Rattus norvegicus: one gene and its partners. The protein of the gene in region 1 interacts with the protein of each later gene in a pairwise test. Links are inferred from orthologs where the notes say so. Each region holds a gene or a part of one and is shown in the gene's direction. Other genes may lie near its edges. The genes, in order: Camk2b, Ccm2l and Acot7.

Region 1 (10,037 bases):
GGAGAGCAGGAGCAGACTGGCTTGCTCGACTCCTCTCGGGTCTCTCTTTCCAATTCTGTGATGCCCTTTGCTTGACTATGGGCTCCAGGCTCTGTGCAAACGAAAGCCTGTAGCTTGGTGTGACAGCTCATCCCTTTAATCCTGGTGCCTAGGAGATTGGGGTAAAAGGATCAGAAGTCCAAGGCTAGCCTAGGCTACATAGCAGGTTTGAAGGTGACAAGTCTACATGAGCCCCCCGCCCCCTACTACACACACCTCATGAGAAGAAAACAATTGACTCTGAGTTATCTAAAGACCCCTTCCCCAACCCCTTCCCCCCTGTAATCTCTCCCTTTCTAAGGCCTGGCTCAGTCTCTTGCTGAATCCACCTGTTTGGGGACACTGTAGATGCCAATCCTAGCCTGAATGTCTTTAAGGCCAACCTCAGTGCTAACTGGGATGGCCACTCCTTTCTTAGGCCACAGGTTAGGGACCAGTCTTTGCAGCTGTTCTGGGGAAGGTGTCACACAGAGTAGGCCCAGGATGCCCCCTGCATCTCATCATGTGTCCTTGCTTCCTTAAGCATCCTGCTCTGCCTTACCTGGGTACAAGGCCCCTGAGACACGGGGGTATACGTCACTGATTACATGGGGTGCAGGCACTACGCTCGCAGAGAGTAAACGCTGAGGCTAAAGCACGGAAGTATGTTTTCCCTCACGTCTCCAGGTCTGGGCAAACAGGATCTTCCTTTTGAGAGAATACAGTGTCTCTCCTTTCCTGGAGGACATCTTGGTGAGGCAGAACCACAGATGACACCATGCTAAGTGGAAGCTACATGGTCAAGACAAGGCAGGAGAGAGCATGTGTAGCTGGTGTCTCGGGTGGTGGTTGTGAAGAAGCCAGGGTGCAGCTCAGCCTCTGTGGCCTGACTGCTGCCTCCTCCAGGCCCCAGACATTCTTGCCTTGCACTTTCTAGAGTTCCCATGTGACTGACAGTTTTCAATGTTGGAGGAGAATGCTCAGGGTCCCTGCCATGCTCACGATGGCAAAATGAAAATGGGCCAGGCTGAGTGTGACCCCAGGCCAGGCTGAGTGTGACCCCTGCCTATCTATCACCAGAGGGGAGGGAGTCCTAGGAACTCTGCAGCTTTCAAGCTTGCTTACTTCACACCCACAGCAAGAGCTCTTGTGAGGCTCCAGTCTGCCATGGGCTCAGGGCACCCACCTCAGGAAGCCCACATCTTTCTCTGTAGGTGGTTGGGCAAACTTCGGTCCCAGGAGTCACATTAAGCCTTGTAAAGTCTCTGAGGTGGATGACAAAAGCAGGCTGTGTGGCAGGTTGTGGTCTGTTCTCAGGAGTGAGGTGCCTCTGTGGGTGGCGAGGGCGCCTATGAACTCACCAAGGGGACCTGAGAGCTGAGGAACCTCCGGGTGGTCAGAAGCCAGGAACTTCCTGCTGAGTGCTGGACCAGAGACCCGATCCTTGGGAGCTGCCGGACAGGCTGCTGTGGTTAGAGGTTAGATAGAGAGGCCAAGGGAAGCAATATCATAGGGGCTTTTATGGCCCTCAACAACCCAGAGACAACGGCCTCTCTGGCCACTTCTTCAGGACAAAACAAATGTCCTTCCAGATGAAGCCAGAATGATTCTCCAGGAGGATGCTTTTCCCACCTGCAGATGCAGACATCCAAGCGCCCATGGCTCCTTTCTGTCTCGTGTAATAGCACTAACTGGGGCTGGGTAGAGCTTGGGTGTTCCTCCATGTTCTATGAAGACCATTGCCCAAGCCCCTGGACTCTCTACCATGTCAGAAAGGAGAGGGGCAAGACTGGCCTCTATCAGGGGGGCAGCCCTGCAGCCCCATACTGGAATCGTTGCAGTTGTCTGTGAGAGTGAACTGGAGATTTCATTCCTATTTTAGGAAGCAGGGTCTCCCAGTTCAAACTGAGAGCCAACTCCCATTACAGTGACTGGGGCTGCTGTCCTAGTCCCCAGAGAGGAATGGAGCTCTAGGTCTAGAACACCCATGTCGGGAGGCACAGCATCCTCCCTGTCCGGCAAACTGCTGCCGTCTCTTGTCCCCGGCCCCTCGCAACTGCTCGTGGTGTGAACGCTGTGCCCTGATGGCTCTCTCCCCGTAGCCTGAAAACCTGCTCCTGGCCAGCAAATGCAAAGGGGCCGCAGTGAAACTGGCAGACTTCGGCCTGGCCATCGAGGTTCAGGGAGACCAGCAGGCATGGTTTGGTGAGTGTCAGGGGGCGGGCAGGGGGTACTGGCAGCTCCTCATGGCCCTTCATGGTCCCTTCCCCTTCGATAGGATTTGCGGGAACACCAGGCTACCTGTCTCCCGAAGTTCTTCGGAAGGAGGCCTATGGCAAACCAGTGGATATCTGGGCATGTGGTAAGACCTGTGTGTGAGAGGTGGCTGGGTTGCATGGTGAGCGTGTGGTAGTGTCTCTGGGATCATTCCCTCTGCCCTGCAGTGTACAGGTGGCTGGCTGGCTTCTCCTGCCCTGAGCCAAGTACGTGTGTCCTACCTGCCTTTGGGCTGCCTCAGCAAGGCTCTCACACTGTGACTACATTTACCCATGCGCTCTGGCCCACTGTGTTTGTCTGCCTGTGCTCAGTATAGGTCTGTGCCCAGAGCAAGTGGACACCAGGATACAGGGACCTGGGGCTGTCAGACCACAGGGCGAGGTGGCTCCTTAGGTGGGCTCTTCTCTTTCTGGTGGGGATACAGCAGAGGAGGTCGGCCAGGCTCCCTAGTAAAGCGGAGACAGAGCAGGGAGCAGATACTGTTTGTGTCATCCTCCCCATGGCGGAGGGGCGCAAAGGCACACTGAGGACTGACCCTGGTGCCTCCCAGGGCTATGCTGCTCACCTCCACATCCACAGGGGTGATCCTGTATATCCTGCTGGTGGGATACCCACCTTTCTGGGATGAGGACCAGCACAAGCTGTACCAGCAGATCAAGGCTGGGGCCTATGACGTGAGTGAGCGCCGGGTGTGGAGGGCGGGGACCGCCACGGCCTGGGTCTTCCCTCCTCTTCAGGGGTGTTTGCCCCAGGGGAGGGGCTTCAGCCTTGCCCTGTGCCCCACTTCCTTCTGTAGTTCCCATCCCCCGAGTGGGACACCGTTACCCCTGAAGCCAAAAACCTCATCAACCAGATGTTGACCATCAACCCCGCCAAGCGCATCACGGCCCACGAGGCCCTGAAGCACCCATGGGTCTGCGTAAGTCGTCCTTGGCAACCTCTAGGGGCCAGTTCCTGGTGGGTCTATCCAGGGCCCCTAAGATGGCCCCGGGCTTCTGTTCCTTGTGTCCGACCACTCCCCTGATCTGTGAAGGACAAGACTCTTGAACTTGGAAATAGGTTGGGGACAGCAGGTGGGAACAAGTGATCTCTCGCTGTTGTGGTGGCTGGCCCTAGAGTGCCATCACCCTGAACCCCTCTCCTAAGCCTCCTTGGTTCCCCCTCTGGAGGCAAGGCTGATACTTCTGTAGATCCTCACTGCCCTGCGACTTCCCTTCTCCCAACAGCAACGATCCACGGTGGCCTCCATGATGCACAGACAGGAGACTGTGGAATGTCTGAAGAAGTTCAATGCAAGGAGGAAGCTCAAGGTAGGCAGGACTCAGACCCCATCCCTGCATCCTGGGGGGGCCCCATGCTGGAAGTAGGGGTGTTAGTGGGGCCTTCAAAAGAGGAAGCAGGAGAAACCCCCCAAATCCATGCCTGTTCACGAGTCCAGATCAGAGGATTCCAGATTCTGGGACAGCTCAGAGGGGCGAGCTTGGCCCTGAGTGCAGAGCATCCTGAGGGCTGAAGGAGTGCTGGCCCAGAGCAGGTTCAGTAAAGGGCAGAGCAGAAGGGCCTGGTGGGCCCAGCAGGTTAGAGAGGCAGGCGGACAGGCCTGATCCTGAGAGTTGCTGGCCAGCTAAGGACAGGGTTAGCCCTGGGAACCATTGCTCAATTGAGCTTCCCCAAAGCCCCAAGGGCAGCCCTGGCTTCCCTGGGCCCGTTAAAGGAGTGGTTCTCAACTCAAGGGTCGAGATACCCTGCAAAACCTTCATAATGTAACAGTAGCAGAATCACAGTTATGAAGTAGTAACGAGATAACTTTATGGTGGAAGGTCACCAGGACATGAGGAACTACCTTGGGGTGTCACAGCATTTAGGAAGTTCAAGAACCACTGGGCTAGCTGTCATGGTGGCAGGCCTTCCTGGCCATGCTCACTTCTCAGGAGTCTTGACGCTGTGATTTATGGGTAGCATGAGCCTTAGCTATGGGCGTGTGGCTTCCCTCAGTGCAGCTGCCAGGCTCTGGAATTCTTACTTCTCTGGGAGACCGAGCAGGGGGGACAGAAGCAGACACTAACAGGGTGGCCCTGTCTCTGTTTCTCCTTAGGGAGCCATCCTCACCACTATGCTGGCCACACGGAATTTCTCAGGTGAGACATTCTTCTCCAGGGAAGACGGTGTTTGAGTCCCACCCTCGTTCTACAGAAAGCCCCCTCCTTCTTCATCGGCCCCCCCGCCCCTTTCCTCCAGGCTGGCGGGGGCCCAGTTTCTGTCCTCACCTCTAAGATCCTCTACCCAGAAGGCCTTTTGGCTTTTCTCGTTGGGTAGCTACTGAGGTCTGCTATGCCCCAGTCCTGCCTCCTCCGTGTCGTTGGGTCTGTGTCCCTTACTTGACACCCCAGTGTCTGTGCTGCCAACACCTGGCCTGCCACCTGTATCCGTCCAAGCATCTGTTGGGCAGCCCTGTGGCCTCCTTGTCCTCAGTTCTCTGAGCATCGTGTTGTGTGTGGGAGACAGCCGAAGTGGGGGTGGATGAGATTGAGGTCCGCGCACGGGGTGACTTGTAAGTGGGCCGCCTACCCTGGTTGTTTGGGTGGGTGATGGGAAAATGAAGTCTCAAGGGTCTGTTAGAGACCCATGGGGCCCGCGTGGGGGGACAGTGTTGGCCCCAGTGCCCGGACAGCTATGTCTGTGGCTTCTTCGTCGTCTGACACTATGTGCGAGCGTTCATGGTCGTCTCTCCTTGTGCGTCTGCATCTGGTACCCTGCCTCCTGTTACTTTGCTGTGATGCTGTACTGCCGGGAATGGGCACACAGTCACATCAACACTAATGGGACTGTCCTGTCTGCTGTGTGCCCCGCATGCCCCACAGGGCACAAGAAGCCCCACTGGGGTGTTCTAAGGAGAAAGGAGGCAAATGCTTTCCAGTGTCTATCGGCCCAGTCTTGTTTCACTATCCTGAGAAAGGGATTCTGGAGCCATCCCCTACCTAAACTTTAACTCTAATCTTCTTCTGCTTCCTTTGTCTCTTCTCTTTCCTCACCTCGCCCTTCCCCACGTCTGTGTCCGCCCCCTTCCCCCCCTCGTCTCTAACCCGGTGCTAACAGTGGGCAGACAGACCACCGCTCCGGCCACAATGTCCACCGCGGCCTCCGGCACCACCATGGGGCTGGTGGAACAAGGTAGATGTGTCTTGCCCAGTGTCCACCCGCTCCTGCCCATCCCTCCTGTTGGCATGCAGCCCCCCTGCTGCACGCAGCCACTGGCCAGACCCCCAGAGCCTCCCCGGAGGCAGGCAGTCCCCTGGGAGCTCTGCTCCTGTCACATCCCAGCTGAAGCCCTGCCCTGGGCAATAAGGCTGCCCCTCACTCTTGTCTCATCATCTGTAAGAGAGAGGTCACATCAAATCCCAGATGCATTTGCCTGAGACCCTTGGTTCTGCCTCTGGATGTCTGGAGACCCAATTCAGAGTGACCCTGATCTCACAGGAGCCACTAAGCCTGCTGCTGGAGGGTATCAGCCCTGAAAGGGGAGCCCTTGGATCAGGGCTTGGGGATAGAGACATGTCCCAAGGATCTGTAGGGCCCAAGGGTCTGGTGGTCTGTGCTACAATTCCTCAGAGTGAAAGTGGGGTGCTATCAGTGTCTGGAACTGAAGGGTTCTTTCTGAAGACCCTTCTTACTTGGTCCCGAACTCCCTTAGGGGAGGAGGTAACCTCCATCAATCTGTCCCTTTGATGGTGTGAGACCTTCTGAGGGCTCAGTGACCCAGAGCCCTCACCACGGGGTCCGTAGTCACCACCCAAACTGAATGCCAGCCAGCAGCACAAGGTTCGAGTCGCCACTGAACACATAGACCCAAGCCAAGCTTCAGCTTCTCCTAAAGCCTTGAGAGTCAGCTGAGGATCGAGCACGGGTTTCCCAGCCAGCTGAGGACCAGCCCTTTCCACACGCCTGCCCACACCCACCTCACAACACCACTAGGACCACAGCAATGATCACCTACTAGAGGATCCTCCTCCTGGGGGATGCTTAGGTCACCCTAGGCTTGTCTGTTCTGCCCACAGGGGCCCGTTGTAGACGCTCCCAAGTAATTATATAAAGCTAGCGGCTGTCAGGGCGGCCCTATTGCCAGGGGACAGTGGCGTGAGACAGGTCACCTCTGAGCCATGCTCCGCCCAGGACTTCTGCTGCAATGCTCGCCTGCCTGCAAGTGAGCCGGGGCAACCTTGCATGAGGCTGCCTGCATGTTGTGGTTCTGCCCCAGGAGCTGAGGGTCCCTCTGTCCTGGAGGGAGGTCAGTGCATGTCAACAAAGCTCGGCATGGCTGTCCACGGTGACTAGAGAGAGAGAGCAAGGCAGAGCTGAAGGTCCCATCTACTCCGTTAGGTCGGCCCAGCCCAACCACACACGAAGGGCACACATTGGGGGTCTTCCTTCTCCGTGATTCTGTCCGAGCACCTTGACAGCTGTAGACCCTTGCTGTAGAGCGTTTTTGCACTTTGGCTCCCACCACCCCGCCCCCATTGAGCAGACATGCGCAGTAAGGTGCCTTGTGACTGTCAGGCTGGCTGGCTGTGGGCTGGAGGTAATGGCTTGGCCTGAGACCTGGAAATGGAAAATGCCCTCCTCCTGAGTTGGGAGTACAGATCTGAAGAGCCCCCAACTCTAAGTATCTGGAATCCCCCCTCCCCCACCATGTTTGTTTAGTCCACTTTGGCTCCGGCTGCACCTTCTAAATCCTTTTGACTCGAGACACCGCAGAAGTGGCTTCTCCTGTATGAGTGGAGTATGCAGGTTCCTGGCTGCAGGGAGCCATAGTTAATCCAGGGCAGATAGGGGAGCTGGAGAAAGCCAGTCTCCAGGAAGCGACGGCCAGAGCCCATGCAACCAAGGAGGCTGGGCCATGCACCCATGTGTCTAGGCTATATAGGTTATCGGTGAGAGGAACAGGAAGTGCTGAAGTAAAGTTGATGTCTGCCTGAGTTTTCTAGGTCTGAGCTATAGGCATGGCTCATCTGGGTCCAAGTGTGCTATGGCCGGCTTGGTAATAATGTGTTCACCCCCCAATAAACCACAGATACCATTCCTAGTAACACAGCCCGGAACTGTGGTTTTGATAGACTTGAGGGCTTAAATGGAACCCTTTTAAGATCAAAGACAGTCCTGGGATCGAAGCAGGCCCAACCCTTCCAGTGTGTCTTTCCCCGTGAGAACCCTCCAAGGATGTCTGAGGGATAGTGAAACGCCACTACCGAATCTCAGACCAATAATGGCTTTCCCTAGGTTCTAACACAGAATCCAACAGGGGACAGGCTGGGTTGGCTGTATGGCCTGCTGGGGCGGGGGTGGGGGGAAATCAAGCCCACCTTCTGCAGACTGTTGAACCTGTTGAAATTGCCACCTCTTAGAAATGTCCGTCTTCCCCTACTGCCCAGAAAGCCATAACAAGTACCCTCAAAGCAGGACAGTCCTACTTCCTTGGGCTCCAGGGAGGGTCCCATCTCCCAGCTCTGCCAGTCTCAAGTGTCGGTTGAGAGCAGCAATTCACCCTTAGCAGTTCCTGTGCCACAGAAGCCCGTGCTGCCTGGGCGAGCAATGCAGGTCTCTAGGGATGACGATGGAGGAAGATGGAGGAGAGTGAGCCATAGACAAGGAGGAGGGCTATGCTGGGCAACTCCAGGGAGTGTCTCGAGACACACCAGAGATGTTTCAAAGTCCACTCTATAAAGAAATGGGAAGTCAGCATTTAGCCCTAGGAACACCCCTTGGGGCTACCCTGGGATTGAAGGTCTAGGGAGCCCCAAGTCTGTAGATGACATGTGGAGGGCAGCTTCGCTTCAGAGAGACCCGCTTGTGACAGAATTTATGAGACAAGCACCAAAACCATGATGGAGGATGGCTGTCGGGAACCAGTGCCCGCCACAGAGGTACTCCAAAAGCATTCAGGTTCCAAGATGGTATGTGGTTTCAGTTGCCATGTCCCCATGTCCCAGCATACAGAGCCTGGTGGAGGTAAGGGGCTCAAAGTGCGTCATCTGGCTAGGGAGGGAGGTAGTCAGGAGGCAGCAGTAGTGCCCAAGTCTGGGCTCTGAAAAGAACTGCCCTCAGAGGTATGGGCACGCAGAACCCTTCAGAGTTCTTACTCTGTGGCCTGCAAGTTTGCGTTTCTGATCACAGCAGTGGCGCTGCTATGGCAGAAGACCATGTTTGACTAGGTTACAGCCCCAGGACTAAATGTGCTGTCCCCAAGTCCCCACCATGCCCGCTGTAGGCTCCCCACTAGTAGGCAGGAGAGGCTGAGGTTAGGTATGGTCAGCCAATGTCTAGTGTACAGGATTTGTGGGTAAGGGCTTTGGAGACAAGGAACTGCGTACCATGCTCCCTGTGCTATGCCAGCCATGACTGCCTTAACCTGCTGTGTTGGCCAAGTGGCCACTTGGCTCTTCTTGGGGACAGGCTGGCTTTGCTGCCTTGTGGGGGCCTTTCTGAACCAACACAAATCTTGTTTTCTCTCTCCTCCTCTCTTCCTTCACTCCCTCCTCTCCTCATCTTTCCTTTTCTGTAAGGTAAGCTGACCTTCTCTCTCACTCTCTATTTTTTTTTTTTTTTTTACTGTTTTAATTCTGTAATGAAAACTCTAAGCTCTGCTCTAGTGGGTGCAAGTTCTGGGGCTAAAGGGTGGGGCAACGGCAGGACCGTCCTGCTCTCCGAGGGGAGTGTTGAAACCAAGGGTTCCATTTCCTGGGCCCAGGTGTCTGCCAGGGCTCATGGGCAAAGTGGTTGGTGTTGGCCTCCGTCATGGCCACCAAGAAGTAGTCCCACGGCAAGGGCTGCTGGGCCATTCAAGGAGAGGACAGGGAGGCCAAGCGGTGTAGCCCTGGGGCAGATGTTTGTTGGCCCTCCGAAGGCGGAGGGTGGGGGCTGGGTGAAGCCCTCTGGCATGACAGCCAGCTTTGGCTCACCATCCTAGTGAGAACACAGAAGTGCAGAGGGCAGGGCCAGGTTGAGCATGCCTTTCATTTTGCATTCTCATGCCTTCCGGTCCTGATCTGGCGCCGTCCAGGGAAATGGGAGGCAGGGCAGATCATCCCGCCTGCCCTTCAGGAGTCATAGGCACGGGACAAGGAGGCTCCTGAACCATTGAAGATGCTGGGGGCAGGGTGGTTCTGGATGAGGCTCCCCCCACCCCAAGCAGCTGGACTCAGCAACCCTGGGGTTCTGCAGCTGCTAGGGCCAGGCCATGTGCCAAGGCCACACCTGCCTCTGGCCTCAGGACCTGAGCTTTGCTCCTGAAGAGAGGGAAGGGGGTGGGGGAAGGGGTGGGAGCTACAGTGATCTTAGGCCCTAGGAACTCACGATCCTTCCTTCCTTCTTTCCCAATGCAGCAGCCAAGAGTTTACTCAACAAGAAAGCAGACGGAGTCAAGGTGAGACCCCCAGCCAAGCCCTTTGTGGGGTACAGGGAAGGAAAGCAGAACCTGGAGCTCTGCTGCTGACCCCAAGGTTCTGGCTTTACCCAACGGAGGCCTGACTAGGGAGGGTACCCTTTCTTCCCTAACAACTCTTTATCCTTCTCTCCACAGCCCCAGACAAACAGCACCAAAAACAGCTCGGCCATCACCAGCCCCAAAGGATCCCTCCCTCCTGCCGCCCTGGTACTGACCCCTGCCCCTGCTCATGTCACTGTCAAGAGAGGCCCTGTGAGGCAGGGTCTGGTGAGACTCTGCCTGTCTCTGACCAAACCAGTCCCAC
Region 2 (9,615 bases), on another chromosome or scaffold:
TGGGTGAGGAGATGAGTTTGGTGTGGTCTCCTAAGGAGTACCCAGTCTAGCCGGCGCTTTCAAGCCTTAAACCTTCCTGGCATTCCTCTGCACCAGCTTCCAGGGCTCTCTCTGAGTAATGAGTGTGTCTGTCTACAGAGAGAGGTGGACAATCCCAGGAAATGCAGCTCAGTGGCTCACAACCCCTGCCTGAGATACCAGCCAGCTCTCCTATCCTGACCCCCTCTCTTACCCTGAGCTCCTTCTTAGAAGCTGGTACCTCCTTCCCTTCCAGCCTCTTAGAGTCGGGGTGGGTCAGGAGTTATCCTCAATCTTTTCTCCTTGTTTCTAGGAGATTTATCCACACTTGTTTCTGGGTGATTTCTACTCTGCTGCCTTCTAAAATCCAGAGAACACCTCTAACCAAATCTTTACTCCTCCTGTCTTTTCCAGGGTCTGTTTGTCATTATGAATGCATTTGTTACAAGCTGAGCCCCCAAGCTCCTCTCAAACACGAAGCGTCTTTGTGTGCACATTTCATTGAATGGCAGCTCCATCCTTGGTGGCTCAGGCTGAAACCTTGCAGTGGTCCTTGGTCTGTCTGTCTCTCTTCTCTGTCTGTCTCTCTCTATCTCTGTCTCTTATATGTGTGTGTGTCTCTCTCTCTTTCAATCTACTCTGTCAATAAATCCACTGGCCTAATTTTTAAGTATATTCAAACCCTATGCCCACACCGTTCCCTGTCCATACCCAGCTCCAACATCTCTCCCTGGGATAACGTTGCCATCCCCCACCCCACTGGCTCAGTCCTTCCTTCCATTCTGTACTTCCCTGCCTCATCCAACACAGCCTCATCCTGGAAACTTTATTAGGGCAATGAGGAAATGGGAAGGGGCATACAGGTGAGCAGGAAAGCTAGGATCACATGGTTCAGGCTGGCTCTGGTAGGAGGTGAGTGGGTTATGTGACAGGGGGTGGAGGAAGAGACCCTGTTTCAACAGGAAAAGTTAGTTTGTATTGTTTAAACTGAAGCAAGGAGAAGAAACAGTCGATAGATCCAGGGGCCTGCAAACCAGACAGGGCCTCGCCTATCCCACTCAGCTGTGGGTTTAAGGCTCCGGTCCTGGCCTGGTGGGAGAATGAATAAGTAAATGAGTTGCTTTCCAAGTGTCTAAGCTTCTGTCCGAGGTACAGTGATCCCACACACAGTGGTCAGAGTTAAACCCCCCAATACCAGCATTAGCTGATGCCTTGGGCCTGTGAGTCCAAACAAGTCACACAACTCCATTAAGCCTCGGAGCACTCAACCATAAAACAAGGATCCTCTCTGACCTGTCTACTCTAGGGTTATAGTAAGGTCTGATCCTGGTTTAAACCGTAGTACCTGCAATGACCACAGATACCCATCCTGAGTTACAGCTTAACATTTACCTTAGGATTTTTAGAGGTGCCAAAAGTCAGGATCTTCATAAGCGTGGCCTTTATCAATCAATGACTGCTTCCTGTGTCTCTTGCTTGAAGAGGCGGATTCCTCCTCAAATGTGCAACCTCCGAAGCTTTGCCTCGGGCCCTCTTCCTCCTACCAGGGACACTATTATTGCTTTGCTCCCACAATTGCGTTGGGCATGGGGCAACCCACAGCCATACCCTGTGCCCAGTAGCAGTAACAGCACTGAGCCTACAATTCTGATTCTTTGAAGTGTTCCTTCTCCTACCGCTCTGGTCTCCACACTGGGCTTCAGGGTCTGTGCCTATACATTTAGTTAAATGAGCCTTTAGGCTAGATGAATTCCATGGTAGGCCATGAATCCCCGGAGACCTGGAATGTACTTTCATGGTAGAGGAGTTTGAGCTGCCTCTAGATTCTGTAAAAGGGTCATAAGAACAAGAGAGGAGCCATATAATTTTGAGGGGACATGTCTTTGAAGTTGGCTTAAGGTGTACGTGTCAGCACAGGCTCTCACTGCATCTGAGGAGGCAGGAGTGCCCTGGGGATAGGTAAGAGCCCGAGTTCTCTTCCTGCCCCTGGACCAGGATGCTGCTGAGGAATCCTGTGCACTCATCTGTCAAGTCTTCCAGATCATCTACGGCGACCAGAGCATCGAGTGTGTAGACCGGGCTGGCTACCACTACAGACCCACACCAAAGCGGCCATGGCTCTCCAGCTGCAGTGAGTATCCAAACTCCCATAAAGCACCGGGAGAGGCTGGATGTCCTGATAGTCAGGGCTGATGGAGGCCTTTAGGGGTTCTGAGGTGGACCCTGGTTCTAGGGGTCCACTTGACAGAGTGTCATCTTCTTGATGACCTCTTCAGAGATGACCACGTTGTCAAGTTTGGGATGAGTTTGAACTTAGGCACTTGAACTTCTCTCTTGTTTTGGGCGTCCCTGCTTTGCAAAGTTCAGCAACTGTACTGTTGGCTAACTGAGCCACCTCACCCCGGGAGATTCCTAGGGCTGACATTTCCAGATTAGTCCATGTATGCAATCAAGGGTTGGAATTAAAGTGAGACTAACAGGGGCATTTATTGAGTGCCTTGTGTGCCAAGCACAATAGCGAAGTGTCAAGTCTTCTCGAGACTTTATGGCGTCCTACCTGTCTTGTTCACTTAGCACAGGAACAGGCACTCCACAGATGCTGGAGAGGTAGCCTTCAGATAAATGGAAACTGCTCAGTCCCCGGGCTGGTGAGATGGCTCAGCGGGGAAAGGTGCCTGCTGCTAATCTTGACAACTTGAGCTCAGTCCTCAAGACTCACAGGGTGGAAGGAGAAACTTTTGAGTTTTCAAAAGTTTTCCTCCGACCTCCCCACGGGCATCATGGCATATGCAAATGCCATCCTGAGCACATTAGCTAATAGTCCCGAGCTTTTGAGACACTGAGGCAGAAGGATCCGAGTTTAAGGTCAGCCGAGCTGCAATGCAGAAACCTGATCTTTATTTTTTTTAAAGCTCTATTTATTATATGTAAATAAACTGTAGCTGTTCAGACACACCAGAAGAGGGCATTGGATCCCATTACAGATGGTTGTGAGCCACCATGTGGTTGCTAGGACTTGAACTCAGGACCTCTGGAAGAACAGTCAGTGCTCTTAACCACTGAGCCATTTCTCCAGCCCCGAAACCTGAAATTTAAAAAAGAAAAAAGATCTAAGCATGGTGGTGACACACATCTTTCATCTCAGCACATGGGCAACAGAGGCAGAAAGATCTCAGAGATCAGTACCAGCCTGATCCACTCCAAGTTCCAGTTGAGCCAGGGCTACACAGAGAAAAAAGGCCTCTCCGAGGCCCTGTGAATCCAGTTTTACAGATAATAAGCATTGAGACTCAGAGTAGTCAATAAATAGTCACAGGCCACAAGGTTGGTAGGTCAGAGGCAGAATCCAAACCCAGTGTGTCTAATTCCAAAGCTTCTGTCTGCAGCGCTCTCTCTGTGTGCTACCCTCAAAGACAGCCATTGTGTGAATTCCCTCCTCCACAGCCTGCTATGGAGTGGTCTCTGTTTGCACAGCTCCAGCAGCTGTGGCACTGGCCTTGTCGTGACTCTGCTACCCGCAGGAGCTGTGCCTGTTGGGAAGCCTCTGCTGGTGACTGTTTGGTTCCCAGGATGCTAAGCAACCAAATGAGAGAACTCGTTCATTCAACCAATGTCGACTGAGTTTTTATTTCTCAGGCCCAGTTATAATCTGTAAGGTATCTTGACGGTAGGCAAACTGAGGCACAGTCTTGCCTTCCTGCGACGTGCATAGAATAAGTAGTCACAGTGATAAATGTCTAACCACAGTGTTATGGGAACCTGTAATGAGGAACTTGCCTCTGAGAAGTCAGAGTGACAGAGTGACCCCCACTGAGCTGACATGAGAAGGCCCTGCCCAGACAGGTGAGGGACCAGGCTGGGGAGGAGCCACATTCTCCATAAATAACGTTGCTTTCCTTTCAAGCTGCTGACTGACTTGCTCTCTGCAGCATTGTCTGCACTGTCTCGTCTAGACACACATTTATCAACACTCTCCCACTGCCTCTCATTTGTCATTCCCCGTGTCCCATCAGATAGGAAGACACTATGGACCTGGGCACTGGGGACAGCAAGGATTGGGGATGACAGTTGCCTGAGGTTAGCTACGTATCAGGGCTGGGCAAGAACCAGATCCCAGGGTGCTGCCAATGTCAGGGGTTCAGGAAGCCTATTGGTGCCTGCACATCATCTCTGACAGTTCTTCCTACTGGTCCCAGGTGAGAGCTGCCGCACCGATGGGACATTTGCCTATGATGCCGACTTGAGCTGCTGCAGTTCCTTGTGAGTACCAGCTTTGTCTGTGATGCCAGCTTTCCCTCCCCACCCCCACCCGGCTCCTCTACAGCGCATGGGGCCCAGGGACCCAACCATGATTTGTATTGAGTCTGGGAGGTAGACAGAGCTCCAGGCTAAACCCTGGGAGACCTAGAGACCTGGGACCACAGAGGTCTTCAAGCCTCCCAGGTTCAGTGGTCTACAGAATCCAAAGTCACAGCTAATGCTAAAAGCTCTGTTGGTATAATAGGAAATCCCGGGGAAGGTAGGTTTACAAAGACAGGATTGGTTTTCTTGTCTTCTTATGCAAAATACAACCAGAGTTTGGGGCCTCCTGGTCCTATTCACCCTGGGCCTCTCTTTCAGTCACAGCTTCCCCTTCACCATCCTCAGAGTGACCTCGTGGTCCAAGCTGTAGCTTCAACCATTCAAGAGCACACCAATGGCCTCTTGAAATAGTTTAGAGAGGATAGGGACCAGGGAATACCACAGTATCACCAGGCAAGCTCACTATGTGAAAAGCCCTGGGTTCCATCCCTGAAGCACATGTGTGTGTGCGTGTGTGTGTGTGTGTGTGTGTGTGTGTTTGTGTGTGTGTGTGTGCTTGTGTGTTTGTGTGTGTTTGTGTGTGTGTTTGTGTGTGTGTGTTTGTGTGTGTGCTTGTGTGTTTGTGTGTGTGTTTGTGTGTGTGTGCTTGTGTGTTTGTGTGTGTTTGTGTGTGTGTGTTTGTGTGTGTGCTTGTGTGTTTGTGTGTGTGCATGTGTGTGTGTTTGTGTGTGTGCTTATGTGTGTGTTTGTGTGTGTGTTTGTGTGTATGCTTGTGTGTGTATGCTTGTGTGTTTGTGTGTGTGCTTGTGTGTGTGTGCTTGTGTGTTTGTGTGTGTGTGCGCTTTTGTGTGTGTGTGTGCGCGCGCGCGCGCACACACACACGCACGCTGTAATGCACGTCATTGGCTTTTGTTAGCTGCTATGTGGCTAGTTATCTGTTATGTGGGGTCTATAGCCTGAAGTGCCTTACATATGATCCTGTCATTTTCACAGTGACACCAATCTTCATCATCTCATTTTACAGATGGAGAAGCTGAAGACTAGGGAAACAAAGTTTAGCAACCCAAGGGTCAAACACAGTAAACGCCATAGACCTGGCCTGCAAGCACAAGCAGGCTGGCATGTGAGCTCAGGAGTCTACACCCTTGCTAGGTCTGTGGTCCCAGCCTTCTGGAGGTGGAAGCCAGAGTGTCAAAAGTTCAAAGCCCAAGCCCAGTGTGGTCATCTTATTTTAAAAGGAGTTAACAATGAGAATTTCCTATGCTGGGTGGGACTGAACCAGAGATGAGAGAGTGTTTGCCTAGGATATGAGAGGCTTTGATTCCAACCCCTGTCACTGCATTAGCCTGGCTTGGTGGTTCAAAACCACCACTCCAGCACTTGGGAGGTTAAAAGCAGGATCAAAAGTTCAAGGCTAACCTTCACTACATAAAGAGTTTAAGGCCATTCTAGGATATGTGAGACCCTCAAAAACGAAACCCTCCACGATGAGCCAGGCAGCCTAATTTATAAAAAGAATTCAACAAGGAGAAAGGAAAGGCCGCACAGTTCAGCACAGGTGGCATCCAGCAGTGATGGATACTACCGTGAAAAGAAGCTTCCCAGGGTATGTAAGAGTCAGAAGGGGACTCTACCTTACCTAGGAGCCAGAGGGGCTTCCCAGAACTGATGACAGTTGAGCTGGTGATAAAAGGGACTGGTCATTCCAGGCAGAGAGAACATCAAGAATTCAGAATAACCAGGTAGTGGTCCTGTGGCTGTGACACTAGATGTGAGAGAGGCAATGGAGGAGAGAAGTCCAGGCAGAGGGAACAGCCTGTGCAAAGGCTCAGGGAGGGATAAGGAAGGGTGACAGGAGTGCCGAGAGCAGGAGGGGGCTTGAGAGGTTGCTGGACTTTGATGAGCCTTGAGCACTGGTATATAAGCCCAACCACCTTCAGCCTAACCTAGGGAAAGCAACAGAGGTTGGTGAGGCTACTTTCCCCTTTTCTCTGCAGCAATGGCTCCCAGGACACATTTGAGGCATGTTACAGTGGCGCGTCCACACCGTCCTTCCACAGCTCCCACTGTAGCAGTATCGACCACAGCAGCTGGGCCTTTGAGCAGCTACAGGATTACATGGTCACGGTGAGCATGCACAGACAGCAGAGCTCTGCAACAAGAATCTTATGTGAGAGCTCAGAGGCCAGGGAAGGAGGTGTGATTAGGAGCTTAGAGAAGCCGTGGCTGGTGTCAGCCTGCACTGAAGGCTCCAAGCACCTCCCCTGTCTTTCATCTCTTCAACAACCTCAAGAAGGAGGCTCCCTCCTTACCCCAAGTGCAGAGAAGGAAAGCAAGGGTCAGGGAGATAATGACCTCCTGCCACCTCAGAGGAGGTCACCAAAGGATTGGGGCTCAGGAAGTGGGACCCATATCCCATTTATCTTAGAGTGTTACTGCTGTGAAGACACACCATGACCAAGGCAACTCGAATAAGGACAACATTTAATTAGGACTGATTCCAGATTCAGAGGTCAGTCCATTATCATCAAGGCAGGAACATGGCAGGATCCAAGCAGGCATGGTGCAGGAGGAGCTGAGAGTTCTACATCTTCATCTGAAGGCTGCTAGCAGAATACTGGCTTCCAGGCAGCTAGGGTGAGGGTCTTAAAGCCTGCACCCATAGTGACACACCTACTCCAACAGGGCTACCTACTCCAACAGGGCCACACCTTCTAACAGTGCCACTCCTTGGGCCAAGCATACACAAACCACTACACCATTCCTAGATGCAAAGACCAGATGTCCCCACCCACCTCAGTGGGCAGTGGAAGATTTTGCAGATGGGCTGGGCCTGACAGGCTGCCAGAGAGAACCTCAGCATATTTAGCAGAAGCCAGGCGTTGTTGCAATCTGGATCTGGTTTCCAAGGGTGTCCCTTACTCCCACAGCTGCGAAGTAAGCTGGGTCCTCCTGAGATCCAGCAGTTTGCGATGCTGCTACGAGACTATCGCCTGGGGCTGCCTATCCAGGACTACTGTGCAGGCCTGCAGAAACTCTATGGGGACCGACGGAAGTTCCTTCTTATTGGTAAGCCCCACTCTGCCTTGGCTCCAGGCATCCCCAGCCAGACACCACCTGGGAGCGCTTTGCTCTTTGAGCCCCTAAGGCCCAAGACTTAGAGAACCTGGACCTGAGAAGGAGAGGAAGAAAGAGTGAAGGAAAGGGAGAGGAATTGCCAGCAAACAGCTGGATGAGCCTAGCCCTAGGGTAGCAAAGCAGGTCAGGATGTGATCAACACACACACACACACACACACACACACACACACACACACACACACACAGCCTATCTTAGCCTCAGAGAGGCAAAGCGACTTGTCTGGAGTCACACAGCTAGTGAAGAGGGTTACTGAGCACCGTAGGAATAATATTGATCACACAGGAGCATGTTTGGCAGTTATCATGAGCCAAGCATGACCTCACAGACTATCCCCATGCCTGAGAAGTAAATATTGCTATCTCGTCACCATTTGGAAGTGAAGAGACTGAGACTCAAAGTAGCAAAGTAAAGAAGTCAAAGGTCCAGAAAGGGACGCAAGTAAATCTGATGTTTATGGGGCACGTCGTGGAAAGTAACTGATTACATTTTCACCAAATCAGGTACGGAAGATCCGTTGTACAGGTGACGAAGGTGAGGTTTGAGTAGTTATTTAACTAAGGTTGTATAGCCAGTAACTGGGAGTATATCCCTAAGAATATATTAAGCTAGCAAACACATGAGGAGTCTTGTGTCATCTGCTGTTTTGAGAGGTAAAAAATTTTGGGTAAAGCTATCCCGGCAGAGACAGGATTTGAACTCGGACTTCCAGAGAGGGCATTCCATAGCAATCTGGCTGGATGCTGGAGTCACTTTGCCCTGTGTCCTCTAGGGATGCGGCCCTTCATCCCAGATCAGGACATCGGCTACTTCGAGGGCTTCCTGGAGAGCATGGGTATCCGCGAGGGTGGAATCCTCACTGACAGCTTCGGCCGCATCAAGCGCAGCATGAGCTCCACGTCTGCGTCTGCCGTGCGCAGTTATGACGGGGCGGCCCAGAGGCCGGAGGAGCAGACCTTCCACCAGCTGCTGACTGACATCACGCATGACATCGAGGCACTGGCCCCGGACGATGACGACGTCTACGAGGATGTCTCCCCAAGCGGGGGCGACCAGGTTGAAGACAACTACCTGTAGCTCCGCGGCACACTTGCCCGTATGACACCATCCCCAGGGTTCCTAGACTCCTGGGTTCCCATCCGTGCCTTGGGGCTTCTTTTCCCTGCAAATGGGTTCACAGGGCTTCAGTCCTTGCAATACCAAGAAAATCCTGTAGAGGGCGGGAGAGCCAGACTCTAGAGTGTTCTTCAAGCTAAAGAATCGCTCCACCTACTGGCCGACAGAAAAGATATCTAATTCACGCCCCACTTTCTGCAACCCTGCCCAACCCCAAACCAGAAACATTTCCAGAACCTAGAGACCTCTCTTCAATTTTACAGGCTGAGAGACTGAAGAGACATGGGGGGGTGTGTTTGTTTGTTTGTTTTTAAGGGAATGGAAATATGAGACAACGCCAGGTCCTTGGATATCGACACTCATCTCCACATCTCTAGGATAATTTCAGCTCCACCCAGCTCACAAGTGGTCATCGGGATGAATGGAGGGCAAGACATTAGGGTTGGGCCTGGCATGCTGTAGGTGCTCAATAAATGCTGTTTCTCTCCACTTGGAATGTTTTTCTGATTCAATGTGCCTGTTGTTCCTGGGAGCGGTGTGTGGAATGAGGTGTTATGAAGACTAGAGGAGTTCACAGCTTGAGAAGAAGAAACAGGACTGGCCTTCACAGTGGTCTTATAGCCTGGCTCTGTGCCCAAACCCCCAAACAAAATGCACTCAGGCCTCTGCAGACAGACAGCCTGGGGCTAATCAAAGAGCTGTGCAGGCAGAGTTGTAAGCTCTGGAGGTCAAGATGAGACCAGTCCTTGGCACAGCCTCAGTGAGGACAGTGAACCTTGAGAGGAGGACAGAGGCCTCTAGAAGAGATCAAATGTGTCTGCAAAACCTTGCTAAGCCTTCCTCGGTCAAACATTTTCAAATCGAGTGATCACTGAGACTTAGAGTTCCAGATTCCCACTGGGACGGTGGCAGATAACTGTTCTCACCCCCACCCCACTCCCAACCCCCGCACCACTCTCAACCCCCGTCACTGGTCCATGCGAGGTTCTCCGGATGTTCTGCTTCATTCCTTGTTTGTCCACAGATTCTACTCCACACCAC
Region 3 (10,572 bases), on another chromosome or scaffold:
GCACGGCAGGGTCTGCCTGTGAGCGAGTCAGTGAACTCTTCAGTCTAATTTACTCGTCTGTCGCACAGCTCAGCCGTGTTCTGCCTGTTACCTTGAGCTCCTGAAAGTGGAAGTGGCCAGCTCACTGTCCCAGCCTGAGGACGCGCAGCAGGTTCTCGGATGAATGATCCAAGGACAAAGTAAACAGATGTCATAGAAGCTGCACAGATCCCAACCTGACTGGTGTGCCCCGGGGCTCCTTGTAATGTGTACACAAGCAGCTGGACACCCGAGAAAGGGAGAGTGGAGAGAAGTGTTCTCAGAACTTCCTCTGTGCGGAACTCTTACCTCAGACGCAAACACCCTCGCTAGGACAGGTGTGTGAAATACCTGTGTTTACTCCCGAGTGTCCTTCTGCTGGCTGCTGCGTTCTCGGACACTGAGGACATGTCAGGTCCTGGGGAACCTGTAGCACCTTTTTTTTTTTTTTTTTTTGTTCTTTTTTTCGGAGCTGGGACCGAACCCAGGGCCTTGCGCTTCCTAGGCAAGCGCTCTACCACTGAGCTAAATCCCCAACCTCCCCCCCTTTTTTTTTTCTTTTCTTTTTTTCGGAGCTGGGGACCGAACCCAGGACCTTGCGAGCTAAATCCCCAACCCCAACCTGCAGCACTCTTTCTCCCTTTGAATGTCGGCTTGAATCAGGCAGGATCTGGCAGGGTCTTCTGGCCCTAGGCTGTTTGAATCCCTTCAACATCCCAGTGGCTCCAGACATTGGAGCAGCCAAGTTTACCAGCAGGCTCACATAGACCCATAGTTTCTCTGTACCAGGTCCCTTTCCAAGCACCTAAAAATGCCCACGTGTCTAGGCCTTACTACCGTCCTATGGGTAGGTCCTCTGTTCTCTCTACTCATGGAGGAGTTGAGGTACACGTAGCAGAGAGCTCACTGAAGGCCACACAGTGTGGCTCATCTTAGTTCTGTACTATGTTACCCCTGTCTTTGGTGTTGTCTCAGTCCCGGAGGGTCTTCTGACTCTTCAGTGTGTTCGGCTCCCCAACAGGGCCTTAAGGACTCCCCAACAGGTCTCCCCAAGGGGCCCAGGCTGGCTCCTTTAGGCTCTTAGAGGTACTGTACCCCATACAAAGATAGAAGCAAGTTGGACGCATCCCTGGAATACCTTCTTGGGTCCTGGACTTTACCTGTCACTCAGATCAGGAGTGGGTCACATGGCCAGGTCACATAGCCACATTGGTCATTCCTAGGGAACAGCATGTTTGCTTGTCTGTTCTTGTGGTTTGCCCTGGAGTTATCTGTATTTTGATGCTAATTCCACTGCCCCAAAGACAGCTGCCTAGAAGTGTACTCAGGAATCAGGTGACTTCACCAGAACCTTCTCCCCATTGAATTTGTAAAGTACAGGTGAGGGGCAGGTACAGGATAGAAGGAGGCCTGTCATTGGAAGAGAAGGAAGGATGGGTGGGAGAAAAGTTTGAAGGAAGAGGAGGAGACTGGAATAGAGAGGAGAAGAGACAGGAGGGAGAGTGAAAAAAGCCGTGGCAGGACAATGGAGGCTGACGTTAAGATTCTGCTCTGTGTATTTACAGGTTGTTATCAATGTTCCTAAGGGATGGATGGTACCGGGCTTTGTATGTTTAAGTGGGCAATTATATCTTATCAACTGGGTCAAAGGTTATTGTGTTGTGTGTTCTTTTATGTGACGGTTTGAGTGTAGCAAAGTGTGCAGCGGCAGGAGACACTGGGCCGCCGAGGAGTTGGGATTTGTTTCCGCCAAGATATCTAGCAGATATCTTGGGGCATTGAGGTGCCGGACCTAAGTGAGGTAAAAGACAACATACTTTTTATATTTTTACAACAACATAGGGCAGAAAAGTTATGAATTCAAACTGACACAAGGACCAAATCTTTAGCCTACAACGATTTATTTATTTATTGGCTGTTAAGTAGAATTTGGTGGTAGAGGGCTCGTCTGACACTTGGCATGGTAGGTTTGAGCCCTATCAGTCCACCCGTGCTCCCACATGGGCATGCACACGCATGTGCACACACACGTAAGGCTCCTCTTTAATGTGGCTAAGCATGTGTTGATCCTAATTGTCACCTTGATGGGATTCAGAACCAGTGTTGGAGACATACGTGTGAGCTTCGGGCATTCCAACAGGAAGTCTGGATGGTCCGGGGGGTGGGGGTGGGGATAGTGTGGCCTGACTCAGTCTTCACTTCTACCCAAGGGAGGGCGTCTGCTGCTGCTGCTGCCACCCTCCAGTGACATCAGACGCCAGTGTCCTCAGCCTTCCAATGTGGACCGAAGACTAGCAGCTTTAAGTTGGACAGCTGAGACACCCGGTTTCCCAGAATGAGCAGTTACATGGAGAGGCAGATGGTTCTTGTGCAGCCGGCCATCAGTGGACAGACCACCCATGTAACCCCCATCCCGGCAGCTGGGTTGTTGGGTTACAACAAATCCCTTCACAAATTACTATTTCAGGTGTATTGTGTGTCTCAGGCTTATACTGAAGACCAGCAGGGACATCTAGCCTTGTGGAGGACAAACTACTTGATGCTGGACTTTCTGTTCACTGTTGGAACTCCCCCGCAAAATCCCCGTTCTGTATATAGAGAGATTCACTTCAAGAGTTCCATTACTCTATAGAACCTCCATGTCTTAGTCAGGGTTTCTATTCCTGCACAAACATCATGACCAAGAAACAAGTTGAGGAGGAAAGGGTTTATTCAGCTTACACTTCCACATTGCTGTTCATCACCAAAGGAAGTCAGGACAGGAACTCGAGCAGGTCAGGAAGCAGGAGCTGATGCAGAGGCCATGGGGGGATGTTACTTACTGTCTTGCTTCCCCTGGCTTGCTCAGCTTGCTTTCTTATAGAACCCAGGACCACCAGCCCAGGGATGGCACCACCCACAATGGGTCCTACCCCCTTGATCACTGATTGAGAAAATGCCTTACAGCTGGGTCTCAGGGAGGCATTTCCTCAAGGGAGGCTCCTTTCTCTGTGATTAACTCCAGCTCATGTCAAGTTGACACACAAAACCAGCCAGTACACTGGACAAATAAACCCTAGAAAAACCGTGGACCACCACCTCTGACTTCTCTCAGACCTCTTTCCAGTCTGTTCTTCCCAGACAACCCTAGTTCTAATATCTTTTATAAGTGGCATTGTACACTATGCTATTTTGCATGTCACAACATCCTAATAGCATTTCTAAAAAATTTTTTTGGGATGCACCATGTGTGTGCAGGAGACCAAAAAGGTAAGAGGCATCGGATCCCTTGGCTCTAGACTTATAGACGGTTGTGAATCACCCTGTGAGTGCTGGGAATGTCGTGTAGGTCCTCTACACAAACAGCAGGTACTGAAGAGCAATCTTCGCAGCCAGGAAGCCTTTCTTTTGTATTATCCTGTGCAGTATTCTATTGTAATATCCTGGCCCTGGATGTTCATGAGGTCACTTATGTTTGGCAGCTCTTTTCAGACCGTTAGTAAATAGGAAAAGCTCTTTGCTTAGCCGCAGCTTCCTCCTAGATCTAGACCTTGTAAGGCTGTGGTTCTCCACCTTCCTAACGCTGTGACCCTTTAGTACAGTTCCTCATGTTGTGGTGATCCCCCTAGCCATAGAATTATTTTCGTTGCTGCTTCATAACCATATCTTTGCTACTGTTATGAATCATAATGTAAGTATCCGTGTTTTCCTATATGGTCTTAGGTGGTTTGAGCCCCGATTCGACCCACAGACTGAGAACTGCTGCTGTAAGGGGAGATGGTGATATTTAAACAGGTCATAAACTCTGGAGGGCTTGCTTAATTCGTATTGAAATGCTAAGAGAACACAGGGTGGAAGCCACTAACACTCTGCTCCCGGTTCTAAAAACTGAATTCTTTGAATAATAATTGTGAGGTCTCAGGGGAGGCTGGTGTGTGTAGCATGTGCCCACCAGGCAAGGCCTGTGTACCAAGCTTCATCTCCTGCTGGAAAACTGGTGTTGCAGGGGTGATAGCTTTAGGCTTTAGAGTAAATGGACCCAAGTTCTGTTAATAGATGGGGTTACCTTTCTTGGGTACCGCATGGAGGGGCAGAGGCTCTCTGCAATACAGTAGATACAGGGTGACAACATTTCTCTTCTTTGGTGGCTTCTGTGGCCTGAAACTTGGACTTGATTTAAAGGCAAAGCAGAAACCAGCAGCAGCTCCTGGGCAGCAGGTGCACCCAGCTTGTACTTGGGGCTCTCCGGGTGTCTTTCTGGAGATCAGTGAGGCAGTGAGGCAGTGAGGCAGTGAGGGGGATTATGAGGCCAATAGGGGTCAGAGGTCGACCGGGCTCCCCGTCTGCAGCCATCCGGGTAAAGGGTTGACACTCGGCACCACGCGCTGTAGGCCCGGGTGAAGTCAAGGCCGGGCGCAGGGGTCGGTACGCGGCTCTCGGCGCCGTGCCCGTCCCGGTCCGGCCTCCCCGCGGTGACCTCATCGGGTGGCCGGCCCCGGTCGGTAGCGAATCGCCACGCCGGCGCACGGGAACGCCCCGTAGACTCCCGGCTGCCACCGAAGCCACGCACGCACACGCCCCGGGGACGCTCCACGACCGGGCCTCCGGCCTGCGTGGTGTCCGCCGCAGGCCGCTCGCCTGCTCCGCGCTGGCGCGTGCGCTGCGCTGCGCGCGCCACCCAACTGCCACCGAACCTTCTGGAAGCGGAGTCCCACAGCCGCCCCCGCCGCCGACAGAACTCGCCGCCTCCGCGAGCGCCTGCGGCCGTGGAGGCCTCTGGGCATGGGGGCGGGGCGGGGCCCGCGCGAGGGCGGGGCCCCCAAGGGGCGGCCGCCTGTGATTCGCCTCCTCTGCGCAGGCCCCGCCTCTCTGGCGACACGGCCCCGCCTCTTCCCTCCTCTTTTATGGCGCCTCCCAGGCTCATTCATTCGGCGCCGGGCCTGCTGGACACCTGTTCTCAGATCCCGCCGCCGCCGTCGCCGCCGCCGCCCGCCGTCGCAGCCAAGATGTCCGGTCCCACCACCGACACGCCGGCCGCCATCCAGATCTGCCGGTAAGACGGAGGCTTGCGGGCCAAGCCGACCCTTCCCCGCTCGCTCGCGCCTGAGCCCGCTGAGGCGATGCTATAGGCTCACAAGGATGCTGCCTTCATCCGGAGCGGCCCTGCCCGGCTCCACGCTCCCGGGGTCCAGGCCCTGGAACCCACCCTGGACCCCTCCACTGGACTCAGGCCCAGGATTCTCTCCCAGGACCCCTCCCTGGATTCCTCTCCTGGATCCCACCCTGGACAACACCCCCATTCCCCGTGCCCTCCTCCGGGATGCTCCCCGCCATGCTGCAGATCCGGGCCGCCTTGCGGGCTCCTCCCACCGGCCTCTGGCTGCATCCCAAGGGCGGCGGCCGCAGTTCTGAGGACTCTTGATGTAGGAATCCGGGCAAGGGACCCTGGCACTGGGCAACTGGCAGAGGGATCTGTCCTCCGTTCTCTTGTGCGTCCTACAGGGCTTGCCCCACCCCGGGCTCCGCGCCTTGTAGTCCGAGCCCAAACCTCCTGCGGGATTCGGAAAGGATAACTTAGGCTCTAGAGGGTGGTGGGGAACATGCCCAGTGCATTGGGAGCACACATGGGTGCGAGCCTCTGTGAGAGCAGGCCCCAGACCCAGTGTTCCTTTAGAGCCCCGCCTCGGTTGTGAGGAGAGCAGGTGTTAGAAGGAAGAACTCATCCATTCAAACCGTTTATTGACTCAGAAAGGGAGTGAGTGGGTCATCTCACACAATGGGGGTGAAGGTTGTTCTCGTCTAAGCATCCTCCCCAGTCTTGTTCCATTGGGGGTGCTGCTTAGATGTGGGTCCCCAGAGGAAGCCGGTGCTGATGAGCAAGCTCACTTCCCCAAGAAGGCGGGGAGGGCAGCCTCAAGGTTACCCTGCGGTTTCATGCACAGTACTTCTGTGCAGATCAGTAAGGGGCAGGTGGGGGTGGGGGATCGTGCCTGCAGGTTGTCTATTCTGCCTGACACACTGACAGGAGTGAGATTTTTTTGAGAGCGGGTATCACATTGGGACAGGTCGAGCAAACCCACAGTTTGGAGGCTGGGCAGCACTCTGACCTTGCGTCTAAGCCTCAAGCAGGCAGAGGCAGGCTCCTGTCTTGTGGGTGCTGCTGCTGGATAACTGGAGCTCTTTGCTGTCAACCTCACCTTCTGGCCCTACAGAGGCCATTCGCTGACTTCAAGGTCAGTTCTGACTCCCTAGAGAGGGGTGTTTGTCTAAGGGAGTCCTGCTCCCTTTGCTTCCTTATTGGCTGCCCAGGCCATTCAACTTGGGCTCTGGGGACAGGGTGTATGTTCCTGATAATGTGGACAACACAGGGTCTTTGTTTGACACATGCTGTGTATTGGTGTCGGGGGTCTTGGGCCTCACCTTCTGGGAGGATGACTGGCAGAGACCTTCCTCCTGCTTTGTGGAGGAGGGATTTGAGAAACTCAATAAAACCACGGAGCCCCAGGAGATTCAGAGTTAGCTCCTGCTTAGGTCTGGTTATACTGATTAAATCACCTGGGCTCTTACTTAACCTCATCAATATGGTTGGTGGCCAACCATCTTTCCCATAGCCTCTAACAACTAATGGGTATTTATGTCGCTTCGGATACTCTAATGTGCTCACAAATGCCCTGTGTGTGGCTTTTCTTATTGTGCTCTACAGGGCTGCCTCTAGCTGTCAGAGTCACAACTGCTTATTTTCCCTAAGTGACAGAGGGTGCATGGCCAGGGGTCCTGGCCCAGACGTCTCAGGGCAAAGCATGACTGCCAAGGGAGGTGGAGCGGTGCAGTAGACTGTGGTCACATGAGTTTGACCAGTGCAGAGTGGACCTAGCTGGATGGGGAGCCCTTTAAGGACATTTGAGCCAGCACCATGAAAGGCAAGACTCCTGACCTGGTGCATCTAAGCCATGAATTTAATAGGACTTCACAGGACACCTCCAAAGAGGCCAGCCCCGGAAGGGCATTGAACAGTGGAAAGTTTAGTCCTTATCTTAAGAGAGAGACAGTGTCATGCGCCTGTCACCCCAGACTGTTAGTGAGATCATCTGCTTTCAGTTCTGAAGCTTGAAGGAGCTTTAAAGATAGGTGTGAGGCGGGAGATGGCTCAGGGGCTAAAGTGCTTGCTGCTGTGAGGACCCGAGTCAGACCTGTGTAAAGTGAGACAGGTTAGTGAGGGCCTGTGACTCCAGTGCTCCTGCAGCCGGGTTGGGAGTGGAGACAAGGAAGCTCACGGGCCAGCTAGAATGATTGCTACTGCAATGAACAGCAAGAACCCTGTCTCAATCCAGGTACAGTGTGAGGACTGACGCCCAAGGTAGTTCTCTGACCCTTATACATACATCATGGCATTGTACACCCGCATGCACACACCTACACACACACACAGCACATACACCCCCTGCAAAGATAAAAGTAACCATGGCCATAGGCTTGGGATGGTTGTGGCTCTGCCCTTGGTAGCTGAGTGACCTGGAAGCCCATTGCTTATATTCCTGTGTCCTGTTCTCTTCTGGGTCTGAGTACTGGGTAAGAGTTGAGCAAGGAAGGATAGTGCCTTTAATCCCAGCATTCAGGAGGCAGAGGCAGGCAGATATCTGTGTTGAAGGCCAGCCTGATCTACAGAGTGAGTTCTAGAACAGCCAGAGCTACACAGAGAAACCCTTTCTCAAAAAACAAATAAATAAGTAAAAAAAAAAACAAAACAAAAAACAAAAACAAAAAAAAAACAAACCAAAAAGCCCAAAACCTGACCTGAACACAGCATCAATGGGTGTTCTTTATGTGGAAAGTGGGTCACCAGCTTAAGAGGTGACAGCCTGGGCTCCATTCCTAGGTCTGTCTCTTACAGGTTGCTGTGTGCCTTAACCTCACAGCATAATCTCACTTGACCCTAATTTTCTTATCTCTAAATTAGAGATATGATAGTACCTATCTTAGGGTCACTGTGTAGACAGATACCTTTGTCCCATTTATTGCTTGTGTCAACATGAACTTACAAAAGGAAGCCTTTGAGAACCAGATCTTTGGGTACTCAGGCCACGGAATAATCGTCCTCTCCTATCATTCGATGCAGTGCAAATAGTCAACCTTCAAACAGAGTGCTGGTATAGGGGCCTTGGTGCAGGATGGCACAGGCGTGTGTGTGTGTGTGTGTGTGTGTGTGTGTGTGTGTGTGTGTGTGCACGTGCCCATGTGGGTATGTGCATGTGCATGCTTGTCCCTGTGAGTGTGCCATGGCACACGTGTAGAGGTCACGACAAAGACAGCGTCTGGGGCTCAAACCCAGATTTTCAGACTTGGCAGTATCTTCATCCACGGAGTCCTCTCTCTTAGTTGCCGCCCCTTCCCTTTAGACATTGTTTTATTGTTATTTGTCTATTTTGTCCTTCTGTGAGGCAGTGCTACACTTAGTAGCCTGTGCCAGCCTTGCTCTTGGCACTCTGCCCCAGGCCCATGATAACCAAGAGCTGGGATTTCATTGCTTAGGGACCTGTTTGGGGCTGAAGGTGTGACATCTGTAGACTTTGTCTCGTCCTGCTCTCAGCTGCTGGTCTGCCAAGCGCTTCTGGGAGCGGAATTTGAGGATGGCAAATGTCTCCAGCAGTGTTAGTTCAGTGGATGTGAATTTTCTCCCTTTCAGCTTGGTCTTTGGCTTGAAAGTAGAATTAACAAGAACACAGGTTCTGGAAGGTTCCATAAAATACAGTGTGGCTCTACCCCTGGGAGGATTTATGAACCCTGTTGGAGATGCACTCTGAGTAGCCCAGTGGCGGAGGATGCCTGAGTGTGTCACTGTCTTATTTTACAGCCTGTTTTGTCACGCAGTATCACACTGCACTTGCCCTGAGGCTAGCCAACTTTCTGGTATTGTCCAGGCCAGATGGCACCTCCTCTTACTTATTTAAAATTTGTTTGCTGGTTTTTGTGAGTATGGATGGCACCTTCTCTTATTTAAAATTTGTTTGCTGGCTTTTATGAGTATGGATGGCACCTTCTTTTACTTATTTAAAATTTGTTTGCTGGTTTTTATGAGTATGGATGTTTTGCTTGCATTTATGTCTCATGCCATGTGTGTGCGCAGGCCCAGAAGAGAGCATTGGATTCCTGGGCTGGAGTCGCAGGCAAGTAGTTGTGAGCTACCATGTGGGTACTGGGAAACAAACCCTGGTCCTCCGAAGGAACGAGTCTTCTAACACTGAACCATCCCTCCAGTCCTCGTGGTTGTTATTACATTGTCCTTTGCTGTTAAAAATATTTACTTAAAATATTTATAGCACACTTGTCCTTCTGCAGGGCATCAGGCTCCAGGCATTGCGCATGGCAGCTGGTGCTGTCCCACGGAGCTGCAGTCCCCATATAGGAGCAACATACTCTGTCAACCACTCTGTCTGAAGGGCATCTCTTCTGCTTTGCAGTGCAGTTCATTGGCATTTGTTTGTTGTCTTTCATTTTGAGGCAGAGTCTGATGTAGCCCAGGCTAGTTTCATATTTGACATGTGGTGGAGGATGGCCTTGAACTTCTGATCTTCCCGATTGAATCTCCCAAGTTCTGAGACTATAAGTGTGCACAGTTTGTTGCATTTGGATAGATGTGAGTACCTGTGTGGTGACTATCTGACTGTGACACAGACTGTCTTCATCAGATCTAATCGTAGCAGTTATTTCCTTCCTCCAGGACCGGCATCTGGCAAGTGACTCGGTGGCTTTCCCTCACCGTGGTTTAGTCTATGGTTGCCTGGGGAAGGCTTCCTACTTAGCACAATGCCTGGGACCCTCACATGGGGGGCACCAGGCTCCATTTTCTGCACATTCCAGTTGGCTTCTCTCTGCAGCCAATGAACATTTGGGTTCTTACAGTTGTGAATGAGTTGCAATGCAGATCTCACAGGTAATTTCTGGGATGTAATCTCCGGCATGGGAACAGTCTCTTGATGGTTGATGAGGCTGAGGGCTTTTTATTATAAATTCTAGGTTTGTTTGTTTGTTTGTTTATATGTTCACTTAGTTAAAAATGGGAAGCCAAGCCTCGTAGTGTTCGGCTCTAATCCCAGCGCTTGCAAGGCATAGGAAGCCTGAGGAATCTCTGAGTTCCAGGCCAGCTTGATTTACATAGTTCCTGGTGAGCAGTCAGGGCGACATAGTAGGACCCTATCTTTAAACACAAAACAAAGGGACTGGGGAGATGGCTCAGCGATTTAATAGCACTGTCTGCTCTTCTAGAGGTCCTGGGCTCAATTCCCAGCAACCACATGGTGGCTCACAATCATCTGTAATGAGATCTGGTGCCCTCTTCTGGCCTGCAGTTACATATGCAGGCAGAATGCTGTATATAAAATAAATAAATCTTTTTTTTTTTTCTTCTTTTTTCTTTTTTTCGGAGCTGGGGACCGAACCCAGGGCCTTGCGCTCGCTAGGCAAGCGCTCTACCGCTGAGCTAAATCCCCAACCCCCTGAGCTAAATCCCCAACCCCATAAATCTTTAAAAAAAAAAAGAAAGAAAACAAAACTGTGAGTGAGGTTTCACTGTTGTCT

What was found.
Region 2: the proteins of Camk2b (region 1) and Ccm2l interact in binary tests that used the Homo sapiens proteins (3 or more experiments, as listed by UniProt). The two-hybrid records come from large-scale screens. The link is inferred for Rattus norvegicus from reciprocal best matches to the Homo sapiens genes CAMK2B and CCM2L.
Region 3: the proteins of Camk2b (region 1) and Acot7 interact in binary tests that used the Homo sapiens proteins (3 or more experiments, as listed by UniProt). The two-hybrid records come from large-scale screens. The link is inferred for Rattus norvegicus from reciprocal best matches to the Homo sapiens genes CAMK2B and ACOT7.

What each region holds. Positions count from the first base shown.
Region 1 is NC_086032.1:85,071,528-85,081,564, reverse strand, and holds part of Camk2b (calcium/calmodulin-dependent protein kinase type II subunit beta), read left to right. Parts: intron 1-2,120; coding exon 2,121-2,223; intron 2,224-2,296; coding exon 2,297-2,380; intron 2,381-2,874; coding exon 2,875-2,969; intron 2,970-3,091; coding exon 3,092-3,214; intron 3,215-3,521; coding exon 3,522-3,605; intron 3,606-4,390; coding exon 4,391-4,433; intron 4,434-5,391; coding exon 5,392-5,466; intron 5,467-9,671; coding exon of another isoform or gene 9,672-9,674; coding exon 9,675-9,712; intron 9,713-9,868; coding exon 9,869-9,940; intron 9,941-10,037. UniProt on the Homo sapiens protein: Calcium/calmodulin-dependent protein kinase that functions autonomously after Ca(2+)/calmodulin-binding and autophosphorylation, and is involved in dendritic spine and synapse formation, neuronal plasticity and regulation of sarcoplasmic reticulum Ca(2+) transport in skeletal muscle.
Region 2 is NC_086021.1:162,000,310-162,009,924, forward strand, and holds the end of Ccm2l (cerebral cavernous malformations 2 protein-like), read left to right. Parts: intron 1-2,013; coding exon 2,014-2,149; intron 2,150-3,765; coding exon of another isoform or gene 3,766-3,842; exon of another isoform or gene 3,843-4,214; coding exon 4,215-4,278; intron 4,279-6,317; coding exon 6,318-6,447; intron 6,448-7,250; coding exon 7,251-7,389; intron 7,390-8,230; coding exon 8,231-8,535; 3' UTR 8,536-8,554; exon of another isoform or gene 8,555-8,889; 3' UTR 8,890-9,063; downstream 9,064-9,615.
Region 3 is NC_086023.1:167,964,511-167,975,082, forward strand, and holds the start of Acot7 (cytosolic acyl coenzyme A thioester hydrolase), read left to right. Parts: upstream 1-4,891; 5' UTR 4,892-4,901; coding exon 4,902-5,050; intron 5,051-10,572. UniProt on the Homo sapiens protein: Catalyzes the hydrolysis of acyl-CoAs into free fatty acids and coenzyme A (CoASH), regulating their respective intracellular levels.